Caenorhabditis elegans: one gene and its partner. The protein of the gene in region 1 interacts with the protein of each later gene in a pairwise test. Each region holds a gene or a part of one and is shown on either strand. Other genes may lie near its edges. The genes, in order: num-1 and tat-1.

Region 1 (7,869 bases):
TTTTTGGAGGGACTCACTGACGTCTTGAGCTTCTTTCTCGGCACAGCTATAACATTTACATGTTTAATTTAAATGTTCCACATCAAACTTACTTGAACATATGCTCCTGGTCGCAGATGCAGTGTTGATCTGCTTGGTAGTTTCTAGAAAACTCTGCACTGTTTTCAAACTCCTCCAAGCATCCGTGTTCCTTTGTGAACCCAACTGGGCATGGATTTGGTGGCTCGCAGTATGCGGGAAGAACGTTGTCTACTTTCACTTCTTGCCTCTCTTGGAAATTGTCCTCCTCAAGAAGTTTCTGTTCTCCCTCGCCAGCTCCACCAGAGATATGCTTGACTCCAAAAGAGGAGAGATCCGGAAGATTTTCAGAGTCACGTGAGATGAGATCAATGAAATCTCCGGATGGAAGAACAAAGTCTCCAGCCTGAAATTTTGAATTTTGAATAAGCTGACTAAATGTATACCTTTTCTTCAATTTTCCTTGAGTATCCTTAATCCGAAAAAAAATGGACTAGGAACACTAGATAATAATCTTAGTGTGAGTCATCACTAAAAATTTTGATTATGGCGGAAATAAATTTGCAATCCTTGAAACTCAACTTTCACAGTTTGAGGCTTTGGAGTTCATATATGAAAATTAATACAGATACCTTAATCGTTAAAAAAGTAATATTTGAAAATTTCAAAATCTATTTCACTTGCTCAGGAATTAGAAAAACACTAAGCCTACAAAACAAAATATGAGTTTACTTACGTTTTCCAAATCTAATCCATAGATAGCTGCAACTCCGACAGTAAAGAAAACCAAAGAAACGGCACCGATCATTCGGGCAACCGTGTTTGGTGCTGAAATGTGAATGCGTCGCTTTGGCTCTCCTGGCAGACGAAAAGAGAGCCGACTGCCAGAGTAGCAGACAGACGGTTATAGACCGAAAGGATTTTGAGGCTCGCAGAACAGCAGAGTAAAGACGCTGAAGAGAGAGGAGCTCATGTGCTCTTCTCCTCGCTCATGGCTGACGGCTTCGAGGAAAATCGATGAGCTGAAGGCGTTGTGTGAGTGTTTTGTGAGTTTTCATGTGAGTGTGTTCTCGCACGTCATTTTTTTGGACAAGATGGAGGAAGATGAAGAAGAAAAAACTGAAAGGAGGTCTAAAGCTCTTCTATTCGTTTCTATGATTAATACTTGGAAGTATAAAAAACAGGATATATTATGGGGTTTCAAAGATTTTGAGGACAACGATTATTGTACAAACAATTAATTTATTTTAAAATGAAACATTGTTTTTCATCGGATAAACATTGTAAAATGTCACAGCCTGTTTTTAACCATGTTCCATGTTCCATGTTGTTGTTGTGAAATAACTTGTAGTAATTCGCAAGTAAATTCACCCATGTTGGTTACGCAAATGTTGACTTTTTGAACATGTAATAAGTTCATCTGTTCAAACTATTAACTTTTTGAACTTTCCTTTGTAATCTCAGTTATCTTATCATTAAGTTTACAAGGTCTTCCGTTAATTCTTTACAAAGAAAAAAAATTAACCACCTTGATTGTAAGATTGAAAATTAAAAAAAAACGCAAGTGAAAATATCAATTTTCATCAAATTTAAGAAAATAATTAAAGTAAAGTTTTTTGTAACATCACAATTGTATTGACTACTCACATTGATCTTTGTGGAAGTGTTATGGATACGTACTACCGTGGGAACAAGCTGGGTTCTACTAATCTCAAAACTTATTTTATGTTTACATTTTGACTCGAGAGTCCTTCTTGACTATACTTTATTATGAATTGGATAGTTCATCAGCAAGGTTCATCGAACACTATGTTTTACAAGTGTCGTCCGCCAATAGAGTTTAGATTTCACAAACAAACTATTCTTGGTTTAAAGTATGATGGTCTGGATCGCAGTTCAAGAAGTGCCACCTCTACAATATGGGTTTACGATAAATGCGGTGAGTTTTGGAAAAATAGTATTTTCCTGGTATCTTTAATAGTTTACACGCTAAGCAATGTGCTAATTTCAAACCTGCTATCTCAAATACTCGTGAGCAAAGTTAAAGTTCCATCCGTACATGTTGCTAATTCAAAATGATCATTGACGTCTGCAACGACTTATTTCCCTACAAAATTTCCGTATTTCTCCCTCTATCACACGTAAGAAAAAGGGGTTGTCTATAGTATGACCTCCTTTATCAACGGCGATAACAGTCGGAAATCGGGTGAAAAGGAGGCGGAACATTCAGTTTCTGCACAAATCAGCTATTTTTGTCGCGATACTCTGAATATTTTTTGGCACTGATTGTAAAAAATTAATTTCGCACATTCGTTAACAAGTTTTTTTTTCAGAATTCGACAATATGATTGTTCCGTTTATGAGGCATAGACCAAGAAATTGGGATCAAGAGTCTAGATATACTGCACCGAGATTGATGTTGTGTGATACAGTAAGTGGTCATACTAAAGTTCGGATTCGAGATATAGGGTTTTAAGAAATATAACAAAAGTTTCTGAAAATATAGAATTTTATCAATGGTGAGAAGCATGATGTTGCACACGATTAGTTGAACAGTGACTTGACATTTTGATGCCTGCGTGACAGGTATGCCAGGTATGAGATGTTAGGTTTTAATTTTTAATCATACACAAAATGTTGAAAAATTCATTTTTCACTGCACGAAATAAAATTTGCTTTCCAACCATTTCGTTTTAGTAGACTAATTTTCATATTATAATGTATGCTTTAAACAAAAAGTATACTGTAAACAAAAATTTGTTAGAATTGTTTTTTTAATTCAAAACATTTTTTTGACAAATTTTTCGAAAACTTTTTCATGTCGGAATTCGGCGGAACAACTTTTCTAAGAATAGGATTTTAACAGAATACGTTGAAAAACAAACGCTAAAAACTCCTAGAACATTTATGAAAAATTATAGGAATCTCTTTTTTTATATTTCAGTAAAAAATTTTAAAAAATCAGGTAAAAACTTTTTTAGAGGAGGACTAACGATTTTGAAAGTAGACCCAAAATGAGCTCAAATGAGCAAATGTTTTACAGTGCATTTTTTTCCAACTTCTACGACTTTAAAGGCGCGCGCATTTTCGCGCAATGTTCTCGCCACGCGCATTCCATTGAATTGTTGAGCGCGTGGCGAGACCAATGACGGGGCCATTTTGTATAAATGCGCGCGCCTTTAAAGTCGTAGAAGTTGGAAAAAAAAACACTGTAATGAAACTTCTCAAAAGTGTTTCAAAAATGATTCAAAATTTCGAAAAAAATACACTGCTTTTAAATAGCTAAAATCTCGAATTGAGAATTATCATCCTTTATTGAATATTTTTGTAGTTTACTCATTTCATTTCGTCGATTAAAGAATATTTAAAGCCGATAGGCAACCTATTTCGATGATTTTTGATTACCTATTGGCTTCATATGCACCTTAATCGACGAAATTAAGTGAGATAAACGAAAATATTTAATAAAGGACGATAATTCAAAAGTCATCATCGGGCCGCTGCGACTCAGAAAAATGGCCAAAGTTCGAGAATTTAACTAAAAACAGTGTTATTTTTTTGAAATTTCGAACCGCCGTAAAAAATTTTTGAAACATTTTTCAGAAGCTTTATTATGAAATAATGAATTGTTCATTTGAGCTCATTTTGGGTCTATACGTTCAAAATCGTCCGAATCGTTAGTCCTCCTTTAAAAGCATCGTAGTTTTTTAAATTCCCTATTGTAGCCCAAGTACAGTATTTCTTAAAGACGCGCATCCTTCTGGCATTTAACTAAAATTTATCGTTTCGAGACCGGGTACCGTGTTTTCGAAGCGCAAATTAAGACAATTTAGCATCTGAAAAATGATTCTTCACGAAAAATAGAAGTGTTCTAAAAGTCCTCGATTTTTATGCAATTCTGTCAAATATCATCGAGAATCACGCCGGCAAAAAGAGGTCATTTGTCTCCGTTTCTATGTGTATTGGAGACTGTGTACAGGACAGTGAGAAGGCACGGAACTTTCCCTCTACATCTCTGCACTCTCTTGTCTTTTGTACAGTCTCTCGTCGTTTGTCGTGTTTCTTTTGTGCAATAAGGCTCGGTGCAATGTGATGGAATTGATAAGAGCGACGGGTGGTTTCAGTTTTTGTCCTATTTTGACTGAAATTTCTGTTTTACAGTCATTGGCTATGAATCATGCATTTTTTGCCAACATAAATTTGAATTGCATCGTAGCGGGTCCCAAACGCGAAATTCTCATACTATCATTTAAAAGTGCTCTTCATTTTCCATTTATTTTGCCATTTTTTGACCGATTTCTCCCGATATTTTTGACTAATTTTTGATTTTTGTTTCAGATGAGCGCTTCACAGGGAAACGTATTCACGAGAGGACTGTCGAGAATATCGAGAAGGAAGAAAAAGACAAAGAGTATTCAGAATTCTTTAGTCTCTGAACAGCAACCAAGTTTTGACGCCGCAATTGTTCCAATGCCAATTCCGAACGATAAAAGGTACTAATTTTTAAAGGAAAAATGTTACAAACAGTTGCCAAGTCTTTTTTATTTATTTAAAATCTTCAAATTATCTGTTGAGCTCTCCGAAAACTGCAAGTGCGCTCTATTAAACTAGCCAGGCCACACAAATTGAGCTGCTTTCAGGGAAACGAAACGGAAAATATCAGCTAAAAAACTGAATTTTCTCATAGTTTTTCTTATTGAAATATTATAATAAAATATTTATTAATATATATAACAAAAGAAGCAAAACATTATTTACAAAAATTCAATGTGACACCCCAATAAAAATAAAAAAATTCCACAGATTCCGTTACCCCGTTCTCTCATCTCTCCCCACTCGTGAGGCTCAATTCTTTCACCAATTTCCTCGCTAATTTGCCCAATTTTTCATCAATTTTGTTATTGATTTTCGATGGTAATCTGCTTTTTCTAGCAAAATTTTCGAAAACAATGCGAAAAATTGATTTTAATGCATTCTAGAACTTAAAATTTGCCGATTTGGTTATTCTTCATGTCGATTTCTATATTTTTAAGTACATTATGTGAATTTTAGCTCAATATTCTCAAAAGGGATGGACCGGCTACGGAGATCGCTCAGACTGCCAAAAAAGCGAAGAGATAGGAGTCATGACAGGCATTTGAGTCCAGATGTACGTGAAAACCTGTGAAAAATCGATTTTTCCGAAGTTTACTTGGAAATCAGTTTTTATCTTTTATCGGATTTCATCACCATTTTTCCAACCAAGTAACAGTCTGAAATTCATATAATTTCGACCAAATTTCCGCAAAAAAATCGAGAATTTTTTAAATGTTCTCCAAAAACCTCAAGTTTTCCCCAAAAAATGCTCAATTTTCCAGGTAACGGGCGGTTCGAAGACTGAACAGTGGCAGCCAGACGAAGGTGCCGTACGAACGGGTACGTGCTGTTTCAATGTAAAATATCTAGGATCAGTGGAAGTGTACGAGTCTCGTGGAATGCAAGTTTGTGAAGGCGCACTGAAATCGCTGAAAGCTTCACGGAGAAAGCCTGTAAAGGCAGTTCTGTACGTGTCAGGAGACGGATTACGTGTTGTCGATCAGGGAAACAGTCGAGGACTGTTGGTAGATCAGACTATTGAGAAAGTTTCATTTTGTGCACCCGACAGACAAACTGACAAAGGATTCGCGTACATCTGCAGAGATGGAGCATCCAGGCGGTGGATGTGCCATGGATTTTTAGCCACCAAGGAAACGGTAATTTTATTCAGAAAAAACTATTTATATGTTTTATTGGCAGAAAATTCGGGAATTTAGGTAAAAAATTGACAAATCCCACTACTCTTATTGCTAAGAAATCTTTTAAAAAATAGCAAGAAAAATGCAGAAAATTATGCAAAATTTCCAGGTTTTCCGACAAATTTGGGAAAATGGAGGCAATGAAAGCAGTGAATTTATCAATTTTCGACCTAAATTGCCGAATTTTCTATAAAAATGCAATATTTTCAGGGCGAACGTCTCTCGCATGCTGTCGGTTGTGCATTTTCAATATGTTTGGAAAAAAAGAAAAGACGAGACGAAGAAACAGCTCAAGTAAATGTGCAATCAGCGCAAGAATCAACTTCATCCACTCCACCAAAGGATATATTCCACCCAAATTGGGAGGATAATACATCAGAAGGAACTTCAACTCAAAACCCTTCGAATTCCCGTTCAAACCTGGCTTATCAGTCGTTCCGGAAGCACGTTTCAATTGAAGATCGATATTTGGATCCACAATCAGTAATTATTAACGAGGTACCGGCATCAAATCATATGGATGAGATTAGAAGGATATCGAAGCCGAGACCAACTGGAAATCCGGCTCTGTTTTTGAGACAGGTTCGTTTTTTGTGGTGTCAGGTTGTCCCATGTGAGATTCGAGCTGCGAAGACTAGATTTTCAGCCAAAAATAGCTATTTTTAGATCAAAATCCAGCGAGTTTTCTTTTTTTTATTGGATTCTAAGCTAAAAATTGACAATTTCACCTAAAAACAGCTATTTTTGACTGAAAATCTAGTCTTCCCAGCTTGAGTTTCTCATCGTACAACCTGACACCTTGCTTCATTAAAATGGTTTTCAACCTAAAATTATGTGTTTTTTTACGCAAAATCATGACGAAATCCCCAAAACTTGGCTGAAATACGAGTTTTCAATTGAAATTCAAATCTTTTCATCTCGAAATTGACGAAAATCATTTAAAAAAAAAAGAAAATTCGCTGGTTTTTGATCAAAAAATTGAAAATTTCACCTAAAAATTGCTATTTTTGGCTGATCTCCAAATTTCACATGTGACAACTTGACACCACTTGAAAATTCAAAGTTTCAGGGATCCCTTCGAGCACCACCCGATATGCCATCGTCTTCTGATCAATTCAAGCGAAATATGTCGTTAAGGACCGTGTCGAATAATCCAACGGAGAGATCTCCTGAGAAAAAGGTTTGATTTTGCATGTTATTTGCGCGTTCTTATTTTTTTATTTTAATTCCAAACTTTCCGCAATGTTTTATGGGAAAAAATCAAGATTTCCTAGGAAAAAATCACAAATATGGGAAAATTGTTTAAAAACTCGGTAAATGGGTCTTGCCAAGTTTTACGATTTTTGAGTAAAAAATAAGTTTTCTTCCAAAAATGCTCAAATTTTTTGATAAATTTATGTTTTTTGAGGAAAAATCGCGAAATCGACGGAAATTCAGTTGGAAACATCTATTTTCTGCGATTTTCCGCACTAAACAAATACATTTTATTGAGAAAAACGTTGGAAAAACTGTTTTTTAATGTTTTCAAAAAATAAATCTGAAAATTTGCGATTTTTCGCTGATTTTTTTTGATAAAGTTTGTTAAGTTCTAAACTGAAAAAAACAAAAACTGTATTTTTTTTTCAAAGATTTCCATATTTCTGACACTCAAAACGGCGATCCTTTTCAACGTCATTTGGAAATTTGCATAATCCATCAAGTGATATGACTAGTAAACCCCCATCTTTTACCATTTCCCTATAACAAAAAAGTTCCTTATCAACATTTCTCCTATTTTCACACTCGAACAGACCTCATCAAATGGTTCTCATAGACACTGAATACGTGCGCGCGGTGGTCCATAACGTTGGTCATCGTGCGCGGTGTGGTGTCGCGTCAAAAGTTCGAGCACTGAAGTTAGCCCATTCTCAAGCTAGATTGAGGTCATATTCACAAGCGTGTGAACGAGCAAGCTATATTGATGGTAGATGTGAATACTATCCTAGTTTGGATGTTGCTTCGAGTTCTCGAAATTCTGAAATGTTGAACTCTGGATTTTTCGATGGTTATTCATGGAATACGCCTAATATTCAATCTC
Region 2 (5,033 bases), on another chromosome or scaffold:
ATATTGCATTGACCACTTTCACCGCTGCTTGCCCACTGAATACATAATTTTTTTACTTGGAAATTGTTTTAGCATCTGCAAAAAGTATTTATTCATCAGTTTTAATAAGAAAAAACGGGAAAAAGCTGTGAAAAACAAAAGAAAACAGGCGGAAAACAAAGCAAGATAAATGGCCGCTGAAACTTGTCGGCCCCTCGGCCATGGCCTAGAAACCACTTTTCCTCGTCCCTCGTGAGGAAAAAGTTGCAGTGGTGGTGTCAGACTGTCCCATAACGGCATGATCTAAAATAAATGCGGAAATTGAGATACAGAGTTTTCGAAAAATTCCCGCATTTTTTGTAGATCATACCGTTATGGGACTGCCCCTGACACCACGTGAATTTGGGTTTATTTCCACTATTATGTAGGCCTTTCCCCCAGGGCTATTGCCTAGAGCTTGATTTGTCTGAAAAGTTTAAAGAATTCGGAAAGTTCTGCGAATACACCCAAAATATGCTGAAATGAACGATATTCGTAATGAAACTGCTCAAAAAATGGTTCAAATTTTTATTCCGCTTCAAAATTTCGAAAAAAATTACACTGATTTTAGCATATATATCTCGAATTTTGGCCACTTTTCCGCCAGACATCTGTCCGCAGTTGACTTTTTTGAAATTATCATCCTTTATTGCATATTTTGGTAGTTTATCTCATTTAATTTCGTTGATTAAGGTATTTAAAGACGGTAGGTAACCAATTGATTTTTAGTTACCTGAATGTACCTAAATCGACGAAATTAAATGAGATAAACTACCAAAATTTGCAATAAAGGATGATAATTCCAGATAAAGTCAACCTTCGGCCAGATTCGACACGGAAAAATGGGAAAAATTAGAGATTTTAGCTAAAATCAGCGTAATTTTTTCGAAATTTTTAACCTTCATAAAAAATTTTTGAAGAGTTTTTTGAGAAATTTCATTACGAATTTTTTTAACTTCAGCACACTTTGGGTTTATACGTAAAAGCGGGTCTGAAGCTGTATTCATACGATGATTTATTATGGAAACGTAGAAAAAAGTCCCGTTTTTTCTGCGACTTCATAATAAGCCATTGTATGAATAAGCCTTTAAATATCGAATTGTTCTAAAAAAAAAAGACAGAAAATTTGGCAAATGATCAAAGTTCGTCGAAAATGTTTTCATTTCCAGTGTGTCTTTTCTCTTCTTCTCTTCTTATCAGGGATACATCAATATTTAATTAGTAAATATTTATGACGTATTCATACAAGAGAAAAAAAATTTAAATTTTTTTAAATTTTCAGTTAAATTTGCCGGAAAACCGATTTATCCAAAAATTTGTCGGGACCTAATTAGTTTGCAAAATTGTGAAAAATTCAAATATATTTAGAAACACATTTTTAGAAATTTTTCAGTTATCTTCGGTCGTTACATTTAAAGTTGAAAAAGCCCGAATTTCAGCTCGTTTTCCACAGTTACACCTATTCAGAACCTTAAAATAGCCTAAGAATTATTAGCTTAAGCTAGGTCTAAGCCAAGCCCAAGCCTGGGCACATAAGCCCAACCAAAATAAAAATCGATATTTTCAAACAAAAAAAATTCTAAACAAAAAAGAGGCTCCATGCTTTCTCCCTGCACTCTCTTCTGTTCACACACTATTTCCATGCTTCCGTGACGTGCCGAGGTTCTTCTTCTTCCATGTTTATTTTATTCTTGTTCAAAAAATTGAACAATATGGAAAAATAAATTAAAATACAACATATATGAATCACTTTTTCAAGGCCATGTACTCTTTTTTAACGGAAAACCAGTGTTTTTCTCTGCGTCTCACACCTTCTTGCTCTCTCGCCTCCCCAAGGAAGTTGACACGAACATTATTTGCTTTTTGGGGGTGAACTTATTTCCGTGTTTGCTACGTTTTTTTTCACCTTTTTTTTTTGTTTATTTAAATAAATATTATATTAATTAATTAATTTCCAACAAAAAAATTGGATTTTCCTGCAGGCTCCTCGTCATTCTATGACCGAAAATCGATAATTTGTTTGATTTTTCGTGGGTTTTTATATTTTTTTAATATTTATTTAGTTTCAAAGTTTATTTGTAAATCACACAAATCACACCATTTTTCGTTGAATTTTAGAAAAAAAAACCATAAAAATTAGAGATTTAAAGGATTTTTTTTCCAATTTTGCGAAAAAACAACTTTTTTCTTGAGTTTCCGCGAAGAAAAAAGAACATTCGCTGAAACTTCGAAAATCGATGGAAAATGCCTCAGAAATTGAAAGTTTGTGTTTCAAATCGTAAAATTCAGGAAAAATCAAATTTTCAGACATTTTTTCGCCGAAAAAAAATCATAAATAAGCCCAATTTTGGAGTTTCATCGATTTTCTCGCGGTTTATTCGGTTTTTTTCAACGGAAAAAGTAGAAAAACCCCAGAAAAATCAATAAATTCAGCCAGAAAAGACGAAAATATCGAAACATTCATTTTCGCGGGAATTCAAAAATTATTTAAACTATTTATTACAAATTTTATTAATTTATTAAAAGTTATTAATTTATTTAATTTATTTATTTTAATAACTTTTAATAAATTAATATAGTTTTTAATAAATAGTTTTAATAATTTTTGAATTCCCACGAAATTAACTGAAATTTTCGATATTTTCGCCTTTTCTGGCTGAATTTATTGATTTTCCTGGATTTTTTCTACTTTTTCCCTAAAAAAACTGAATTACCCACGAAAAATTGCTTAAAAATTCAAATAAAATGCTCTTTTTCAAAAAAAAAACTAATTTTTTCCAGATAATTCAACAAAAAATCGATAGCAAAGAAGTCGAGGTCAAACACTTTTTGGAGCATAATGCCCACAGAGGCAAGAGATAATAATCGACATATCCATCTTGGTAAGGCCCAAAAATAGGCTTAAAAAGGCCCGAAAATAGGCTTAAAAAGGGCCAAAAATAGGCTTAAAAAAGCCCAAGAATATCTGAAGTTCTGATAAATCATTAAAAAATGCGCAAAAAAAACGAAAAGCTCATCTTTGAGAACTCCCCGACCAATCAGCGTCCTCGAACTCCGCCCACTTCATCTGATTGGTTGAAAAGTGGGCGGAGCGAGTCGCTGATTGGTCGCAGTTCTCACGCCGGTTTAAAAGCTGGATTTTCGCTTTTTTTTGTGAAATTTCAGCATTTTTTTGACGAAATAACCGAAAATTTGGTTTTTTTTTAAATAATTTTTTTTCAGGCAAAGTCAGAGATCCCCACCACCAGCATGCTCAACGATTTTGCAGTAATAGAATAAGGTTTTTTACTGGAATTTCAGTCATTTTCTGTAAAAAATTGATTTTTTCAGCACTTGCAAGTACAATGGATTCTCATTTCTTCCCAGATTTTTGTATGAACAGTTCCGGCGTTACAATAATATATTTTTCCTAGCAATCGCCCTTCTTCAGGTTAATTTTTGGTTTTAAATGGAGATTTTGCTCGCTTTTACGAGAGAAAACCGAAAAAAATCGAGATTTTTGCTAATTTCTCTGCAAATTGAGGACTGCGACCAATCAGCAACTGGCTCCGCCCACTTTTGGACCAATCAGGAGTCGAATGACGCTGATTGGTTGAAATGTGGGCAGAGCAAGTCGCTGATTGGTCGCAGCACTCATTTTGGAGGGAATTCAGCCAAATTTTGCGATTTTTTTTCGTTTTTTTGTAGTGCGAAATTTTTTTCTTTTTTTTTAAGGTGGAGTATCGCCAGTTGGGAAATTGCTTTAAATCATGCCTATGGTACCACAATGACCGAATATCATGATAAAAAAATTCAAAAAAATTTTCTAGATATTATATGATTTTTTGAAAATTGAAAAAATCTCAGTTTTCACCTAATTCATATTTGAATTACCGCCAATTGGATTTGTTCGATGGAGCGCACTTGCACGTTTTTAAATTTATTTATTTCATTTTTTGTTATTTTCCATCGATTTTTAATGTTTTCGTTGCATTTTTGCTTGAATTTTAGAGAAAAAGTCAAAATAAATGCAAATTTTCGATTAAAAAGCAGGCTGGCAGGCGTAAAAATGACAAAGTAACGATTTTAAACGATTTCGAACCTGAATTCATTAATTTCACTGATTTACGCCTGTCAGCGTACTTTTTAATCGAAAATTTGCATTTATTTTGACTTTTTCTCTAAATTTCAAGCAAAAATACACCGAAAACATTAAAAATCGATGGAAAATAACAAAAAATAAAATAAATGAATTTAATAACGGGCAAGCGCGCTCCACCGAACAAATCCAATTGGCGGTAATTCAAATAGGAATTAGGCAAAAACTGAGATTTTTTCAATTTTCAAAAAAATCATATAAAATTTAGAAATTTTTTTTAAATTTTTTAATCATGATATTCGGTCATTGTGGTACCATAGGCGTGTTTTAAAGCAATTTCCCCACACAGAGTGTAGTCCGCCTTTAATTTATTTAAATTTTTCCTTTTTTTCAGCAAATTCCCGACGTTAGCCCGACTGGAAGATACACGACAGCCGTCCCATTTCTGATAATTTTATCAGTTTCTGCACTAAAAGAAATATTCGAAGATGTGAAAAGACGGCGAAGTGATAATAAAGTTAACGCATTTTCTGTCGAAATTCTTGTCGATGGACATTGGATTGAGAAACAGTGGAAAGATGTGAGATTGAGAAGAAGAAGAAAAATACATTGAAAATAAATTGGAAATTGAAAATTGGCAAAAAAATTTCAAAAAAAAATTCATTACAAAAAATCAAAAAGATTTTGAGCTTGAAGATAACTCGGAATTTTTAAAAATTATCAAAAATCACCGGTTTGCCAAAATTTCCGGAAATTTTCAATTCCGGCAAATTACCGATTTGCCGGAAATTTTGAATTTCGGCAAATTGCCGATTTGCCGAAAATTTTCAATTCCTGCAAATTACCGATTTGCCAGAAATTTTCAATTCCGGCAAATAACCGATTTTCCTGTAATTTTCGATTTCGGCAATTTGTCTGTTTGCTGTTTACCGGATAT

Evidence for each region.
Region 2: the proteins of num-1 (region 1) and tat-1 interact in a two-hybrid assay, tested with the Caenorhabditis elegans proteins (one study listed by BioGRID).

What each region holds. Positions count from the first base shown.
Region 1 is NC_003283.11:20,828,023-20,835,891, forward strand, and holds the start of num-1 (PID domain-containing protein), read left to right. Parts: upstream 1-1,788; coding exon 1,789-1,957; intron 1,958-2,351; coding exon 2,352-2,449; intron 2,450-4,356; coding exon 4,357-4,511; intron 4,512-5,064; exon of another isoform or gene 5,065-5,070; coding exon 5,071-5,167; intron 5,168-5,375; coding exon 5,376-5,750; intron 5,751-6,002; coding exon 6,003-6,374; intron 6,375-6,861; coding exon 6,862-6,972; exon of another isoform or gene 6,973-7,592; coding exon of another isoform or gene 7,593-7,869. Other genes in the region: sbt-1 (Neuroendocrine protein 7B2), read right to left, coding at 1-46, 93-424, 755-826. UniProt on the Caenorhabditis elegans protein: Involved in the tethering and targeting of pkc-3 to modulate the intracellular distribution of the kinase.
Region 2 is NC_003281.10:12,418,489-12,423,521, reverse strand, and holds the start of tat-1 (Phospholipid-transporting ATPase tat-1), read left to right. Parts: upstream 1-1,951; 5' UTR 1,952-2,048; intron 2,049-2,799; 5' UTR 2,800-2,857; coding exon 2,858-2,900; intron 2,901-3,240; coding exon 3,241-3,298; intron 3,299-3,348; coding exon 3,349-3,448; intron 3,449-4,490; coding exon 4,491-4,676; intron 4,677-5,033. UniProt on the Caenorhabditis elegans protein: Transports phosphatidylserine from the outer to the inner leaflet of the plasma membrane, thereby maintaining the enrichment of this phospholipid in the inner leaflet.